Linked DNA regions of Ovis aries. The protein of the gene in region 2 purifies or fractionates together with the protein of the main gene of each other region. This does not show direct contact. Links are inferred from orthologs where the notes say so. Each region holds a gene or a part of one and is shown on either strand. Other genes may lie near its edges.

The links.
Region 1: the proteins of USP44 (region 2) and EZH2 purify together in Homo sapiens (affinity purification with western blotting; 3 studies listed by BioGRID, with this or other methods). This does not show direct contact. The link is inferred for Ovis aries from reciprocal best matches to the Homo sapiens genes USP44 and EZH2.

The regions. Positions count from the first base shown.
Region 1 is NC_056057.1:113,175,582-113,179,404, forward strand, and holds part of EZH2 (histone-lysine N-methyltransferase EZH2), read right to left. Parts: intron 2,435-3,823; coding exon 2,314-2,434; intron 1,546-2,313; coding exon 1,405-1,545; intron 444-1,404; coding exon 341-443; intron 1-340. UniProt on the Homo sapiens protein: Polycomb group (PcG) protein. Catalytic subunit of the PRC2/EED-EZH2 complex, which methylates 'Lys-9' (H3K9me) and 'Lys-27' (H3K27me) of histone H3, leading to transcriptional repression of the affected target gene.
Region 2 is NC_056056.1:131,658,949-131,662,771, forward strand, and holds part of USP44 (ubiquitin carboxyl-terminal hydrolase 44), read right to left. Parts: intron 1,086-3,823; 5' UTR 1,016-1,085; coding exon 1-1,015.

The DNA.
Region 1 (3,823 bases), on a different chromosome or scaffold from region 2:
ACACATGGTATATCAAGAAACATTCACAGATATCATTTATTTGTCATGAATAATGTGATTATATTCACTAGAACGAAACAGCCATGACAGTAACATTTCAATGGATGTCCAGAGAAATTTCCTCTTGCGCACACTCCTATAGATTGTGTGTGTGCGCACACTTCTTCCATCTATGATAAATGCAGCCCAGGGTACCACAGATACACGCATGTATTAGTTCAAGTATCCTGCAGACACAAAGCAGCAGGTTCATCAGCTATATTAGCTCCGTTTCTAATAAACCAGAATGGTGAGTGACATACCACACACAGCAAGACCATCTCAAAAGATCAAATCTTACTTTTCCTTTAGCTCTTCTGCTGTGCCCTTATCTGGAAACATTGAGGAAATAGCTTCAAAAATTTTATCAGAAGGAAATTTCCGAGGTGGACGGCTTTCTTTATCTAAACAGGGAAATGCGAAAGGAAAAAAGAATGAAAGTGAACGAGCTCACCAATGTTTCATTTTGTCTACACTTAACAATGCTGATTTCTCAAGAAATTATCAACTCTGTGTCTCTCTCACTTCTAACCTATTTTACAAGTATCTGGAATGCTGGTGGGTCAGACAAAACTCAAAATCAAATATGCAAAGTTTCAAGTGCACCGGGAGGCAGAAAAACCCAGGCTCTGATCCCAGCTCAGCCACTGACTGGTACTGTGACCTTATCCCGTCACCGACCCACCTGCATGTGTCATCTGTAAACGAGGGCCCACATGATCGCTAAGGCACTGATTATGAGAATGGTACGCTTCTTTGAAACTACAATTTTTCCCAAAATCCTTCTATGCTGACTTCATGTCAAGTCTCTTCCAACCCCGGCTCTAAGTTGGGACCCTCTAATTTCTCTGGTAATCCGTAATTAGTATACAAGTTAGAGCATGTGCCCTGGGGTCAATCAGAGCTGGTTTCCAACACAGAATTTTCTGGGTTCTCTTTCTTCCCAATGCTGTGATCTTAAGTTACTTCACCTCACTGAATCCATGTCAACTATGAAGTGGATCTGAGGATAAAATCCACCTTAATCCACATGCAATATTAGGAGGATTAAATGTCTATACACATATAAAGTGATATAAATTAACAAGCACATAACCTGCACATAGTCAAAGACTGATGTTACATATTACAATAATTAAGATAATTCTCCAGGGAAACCTAAAAACTGTACATTCTTTTGCTAGTCAAGGGAAATAAAAGACTCACAAGTGCAGGATGAAATGTTACAAACAGTATTCTAATTTTGATTATACTACCCCTGATGTGATATTTAACAGAAGAAAAAAGAAGAAAAGTTTACCTGTATTCTTATTTTTTGAAAAAACGCTGATATGGCTACACACAAACCTAACAAGACAGATGTACCTTCTCGACTCTCCTCTAGATCTTTCTGTTTTTCTTCTCTTTCATCAGGATCATCTCCGTCATCATCGTCATCATCATCATTGTACTGACCAAGAGCATTCACCAGCTCCACAAAAATTTCATCATTTATAAACCCACATTCTGAAATTCATCAAATCAAATATCAGAAATACACAGAAGTATATCATGCTTTTTTCTAATTTGTAAGAAACAACTGGAGCCTATCAATCGGCACTACAACACCATAATTATTATAAAATTGGGGAGAAAGGTCATTTCCAGGACTGGCCTCAGGCAAAGCTGGAAGTAGAATTTACCCTCAACACCTGTCATTTTCACAAGTTTCCAGTGCCAGCGACCACGGCCTAATTCTCCAGAAACTAAACACGGCCTTCGCCTCTCTCTGAACATCATATCCACCAGACTGCGCTGTCCACTCGTGAGGGGATGAGAGGCTATTACATGCCACCCTCCTGCCAGGCCCTTTAACAGGTCTCCTGATAATGCACGAAGCTGTGGTTCTAATGTCAGGACTTCAGGTCCTGTGGTGGCCTAGCAGAGAACGTCATTTTGATCACAAGGCCTTTTGGAGCCCATGTTACATAAGCAGGGCCCTAATTCTAACCCATTTCATTGCTAAAGAACCTTAAAATCTATATACATTCAAAGAATTCTATTAAATTTGCATGTGATTGACACAGTTTTTTGATAACCAACTATGAATAATTTCCAAGCGGCATATACAATCCTTCTATTTAAAAATAGATAGGGAAAACACTTAAAATTTTAGCCCAGGCCAATCCAGCAGTTATAGTTTTTAAAAAATCTTTTTCATACTGACATTTGAAAAAACAAATCAAAATATCAATTCTCTGGCCCTTTTTCCAAGAGAATAAACACATGGCTCACCTCTATCCCCGTGTACTTTTCCATCATAATTTTTTATTAGTTCTTCAATGAAAGTCCCATCCTGGTCTAAAACTTCATCCCCCATGTACGGAATGTTATGTAAAACAGTTTCATCTTCCACCTAAAAGTGAAATAAATAAATACATTTAAAAATAGACACATCCTAAGTACCAACATTTTTTAAAAAGGAAATGTAATATAACTGAAATACAGTATTTTTTCCTAAGCAGATGTCCATACCCAGTTCTCCAGATCTAAAATGGGAGCAAACTCTAAAAGCTACAAAGAAATAAATGATGCTTCTCATCAATATCTGAGAAAACTGTTTATAGGGAAAAAACTTAAGAAAAAATACTCTATTACAGAATCAATCACTACAATTTATCATCACTTCATGTCCCTCTAAAACAGGAACACGCCACAAGTTATGGTGTGGCCCATCAACCATTTGAAGACATGTTCCTGCTTCAGGCGTTTAAAAGCATCTCAGGTCGACAAAATACAGCTTAGCAAAGCCAACCATAAATAACAATGCCTCAAAAGGAAAAAAACTAAGTGAGGACTTCCAAACTTCACTTGATCAATTTATCATAGTCAACGTAATAAATTCTAGGCATGTAAAATATGGATGGTTCATTACAGGTTATGCCAAAGGATTTACTCTCATTCATAAAATAGGAACATTCTACAATAACAAAATGTTTCAATACTATGAACAAGACTTATCAAACCTGACAGTGCTAATAAAGATGGCAGATGAGTTTATATCACAGTTTGGAAGATGCCAGGAAAGAAAGGGGGTGCTGGCTGAGCAGGAAAGAGCCAGTCAAAGAAAGTTCAGAGAGGACACAGGACTTCAAGAAAACAAGGGACAGGAAGCTGATGTTCTTGGGGGAAGAGAACTTTCAATAAAAAATGTTGAAGAGTAATTATAGATAAAGACACAACGTTTCTGAAGTCCATATCTAAATACGGAGACTTATTTAAAAAAAGGATAGGTCTCAGTATGAAGAGGCCTTTGAACAAGGTATTGATTAAAAACAGAATTTTAGAAAGAAATTGTGATAACAGAACAGACTGGTGAAGATTGAAGAGAGGAAATGGCAACAATTTAAGTGTGAGGTGCCTCAGGCTGGCCCATGACTGACACAGAGGAAAAGGCTGGGAAAAGGCCAGGACACACAGGAGCTGTCAGGTAGGAGCAGACAGGAAACAGGAAAACACAGGGAGTTTTTCAAATAATTCCTACATAACAAATTCAGGACAGGTGCAGAATTCACAAAGATCACAGTACCTTAGACAAACAAAGAAAAGGCAAACTGGGAGGAAAAGTGCACATGGCATGTAAAATGAAAATGTAGGTGTTGATGTACTGTTCTATTCAGAGCCAACATCATATACAACTCGAGCCTTGCTGCCAGCACACCTCACCTGCACTAAACCCCATTTAAAACTGGGAAAGTTCATTATTTTGGACACAAGCCAAAAGTAAATGACAGTTGGCTATTTT
Region 2 (3,823 bases):
GCTCTTTTTCTTGACATTCATTCATTTGATATACTGTATCTGTAACTGGAGGATGCTTATAAGATGATCTGGTTTTATCACTAGCAGTCACAGCCAGCCATCGGTTCAGATCAAGTTTTAAAAAACATTGTCGAAAAATAAGCAAATGACTCAATACTTGGAGAACAGAATTCATATAGCAAGTATTTCCCAAATTTCTCAATCCTGTTACACCAGGAGTTACTGTTGGCCTTCGTTTAACAGAGGAGTCACTAGCTTTTTTCAGTCTTACATCTTCTGAGGTAGATACTACTTTATCTTTTGCTGGCAATGCTGAGGTTTGCAGCGGTACAGGAACTATTTCTACTGTGGTGGACTGAGCTAGACCTTGTAAACGTAAACTCTTTCTGGGAGGCATACTTTCTAATTCTGCATTAGCCTGATGCTCTAATAGTTCTTGTCGTCTTTTCTTCACCTCTCTTTTTGCTAATTTCTCCTGAAATTGTTCTTGCCTTTTTCTTCCAATGGGTGACTGCTCAAACCAAGTTCGAAAGATTTTACCCATGAGTATCCTTCTCCTGTGCCAAAGAGCAGTATACATTTGATCTTCATTTTGAAGCAGAGATTGGGTGCCATCATGTAAGAAATAGGAATCATCACTTGTAGCCATAGACCGTAAAACCTTTCCACTACGAGTGGTACAGTGATAATTTTGATTTTTGATTGCACTTAATGTACTTCGTAGTAACTTTAGGTCTCCAGTTGCATTATCATTAAGAACATAATCATCACAAAGGTAACAAAAAACATACATCTCATTCACCTCCAATGCAACAGGATGACTACTTTCTTGAAAGTGCCCGAGTGCGTGTTCTTCAATAGATCTTCCACAGGCAACATGAGAACAGCTAAGGCAAGCCCAAATCGACTCAGTCGTATTGCAGTCCACACAACGCCACTTCTGCGGGTTGAGGATGGAATGGTCTTGAGCAAGCCGCAACTGCCCAATGTGTTGGCACTTATCCATTGTTAGCATTTATTGAGTCTAGCTGAGGAACACATAATCCAAACAACTCTCTGTGGGCAACACTTGAAGCATCTGAAAACTAAGAACAATGTCAATTTTTAATAAAAGAAAAACAAAAAGCCAACATTTTTTCTTTTTACAAGGTATTTTTCCAGGAATTATTTTCTTTTTCCAGGAATAATTTTGTTAATTTGCTCTCACTGGTCCTAATATCTGGGCTGCCTGTCATAATACCAAAGGCAATTCTCACTTTTAATTTACACTAGACTTCACTAATCTCTCATCCGTCTTGCTCTGAAAGAACACACACATTACTTGCTCTGACGGTTCCCTTTCAAACACATTGTTTTCAATTTGATGCTACCATCTACTGGTAAAGAATGGGTAGTGACCACTTTTCACATTCCATTTACCAATTGCCATTCCTTTTTCTTAAAAATTGGGACTGGCAAGACCTAAATACATCTTACTAATATCTCCATTTCAAGAGCCCTAAGTGGAGTTACTAAAATATAATCATAGTTGTAAGCATGGGGTCTGAAGTAGAAAAACTTACGTTTGAATGTTACCTCTGCCACATACTGCTTTATATCTGACTTGAGCAAACATTTTAACTTCTCTAAACTTCATCTGTGAAACAGGGAAAATCATACCACCTTCACTGAATTGTTAAAGGCCTGAGATAACCAAATATCTGGCACAGAGCAAATGTTCAGTAAACAATAAATATTTGACACACATCTATAGTGAATAAATCAATATTACACTCTATTTATTTAAATAATATTAAATATTCTAATTTTAAGTACTATTTAAAATTCGGCTTTCCAGTAGTATACCCATAATGACCTTTATTTAATTCATGGCTCTGCAACATACTCTGATTTGATAGACTTGACTTAAGTAAAGAGAAAAAAGACTTAAGAAAAGAGAAAGTATTCTCCCCTTCTGTCTTTTGTGTTTGACTACACTCTGAGGAATGTGCAAGGATGTATAAGCAAATAGCAGGAAAAAAAGGAAAAATAAGAAATCAGTGGCAATATAATGATTTTACATTCTTGCATGCCTAAACATTACATGAAATTAGAGGCTTACTCCAAAAAACAAACCCATAATCCCAAAACCCCAATATAATAAAATAAATCTGATCTTGATCAAACTTTTCCTTTATCAATTAAAGGAACACATCTGCTACCTGTACCTAAAAACAATAAAACAAAATCTAGTTAAAAAGTAGGACATCATGAAATGTTTTCTTCACTGATTTAAACATACATTGAACACAAACTTTGGGCTGAAGTTGGGGATCTAGATGGACTGGTTGGATCTCCTTGCAGTCCAAGGGACTCTCAAGAGTCTTCTCCAACACCACAGTTCAAAAGCATCCATTCTTCGGCACTCAGCCTTATTCACAGTCCAACTCTCACATCCATACATGACCACAGGAAAAACCATAGCCTTGACTAGATGGACCTTTGTTGGCAAAGTAATGTCTCTGCTTTTGAATATGCTATCTAGGTTGGTCATAACTTTTCTTCCAAAGAGTAAGCGTCTTTTAATTTCATGGCTGCAGTCACCATCTGCAGTGATTTTGGAGCCCCCAAAAATAAAGTCTGACACTGTGTCTACTGTTTCCCCATCTATTTCCCATGAAGTGACGCGACCAGATGCCATGATCTTCGTTTTCTGAATGTCGAGCTTTAAGCCAACTTTTTCGCTCTCCTCTTTCACTTCCAAGAGTCCCTTGGACTGCAAGGACATCCAACCAGTCCATTCTGAAGGAGATCAACCCTGGGATTTCTTTGGAAGGAATGATGCTAAAGCTCCAGTACTTTGGCCACCTCATGTGAAGAGTTGACTCATTGGAAAAGACTCTGATGCTGGGAGGGATTGAGGGGGCAGGAGGAGAAGGGGACGACCGAGGATGAGATGGCTGGATGGCATCACGGACTCAATGGACATGAGTCTGAGTGAACTCTGGGAGATGGTGAGGCCTGCTGTGTTGGAATTCATGGGGTCACAAAGAGTCGGACATGACTGAGCGACTGAACTGAACTGAACTGGGGATCTAGATATAGAAGACTCAGAACATTATGTGCAGCATGATCAATGCTTTGAATTTTTTAGGACAGCAACATGAATTTCAACAGTACTTGCAGATGCCACCTCCAGGTCCTAAGAAAACTGCAAAGGTAAAGCTGACTTTTGGTTTCTTTCTACCTCTTTGCTTGTAAAATGTCTTAGCAATCAGATATTCCTGCCTACCACAATTTCTTCACTTTTAGATACAGGGTATGTCAAGTATAGATTTAAAATTACCAACCCCAGACCTCACATGTACACTCCTCTTCCCTCAAGATTTCCTGAGGTCCAAAATCTGTTCAAATATAGTATTTTATTTGAGTAAGCAAACAACAATAGTTGCTAATGGCAAAAGTAAGACATCAGTGATTAATATGCTCCATCATCCTAAATCCTTCTAGGTCCTGAGGTTAATAATCCTGAGATCATACTTGTCTCCAATCTCTCTCTCTCCCCACACAGCAATCCTTGAATAAAAATCTTTGGTTCTACTGTCAAAATATATCTAGAATCTGAGTACTTATTATCTCTACTGTTTCACCCTGAATCCTTATACAGTCGGCACAGCTTAGATCATCAGCTCCTTACTGCAAAATCCAGGCTTAAATTGAAGAAAGGGAAAACCACTAGGCCATTCAGGTATGACCTAAATCAAACCACTTACGATTATACAGTGGAGGTGACAAATAGATTCAAGGGATTAGATCTGGTAGAGAGATCTGAAGAATTATGGAT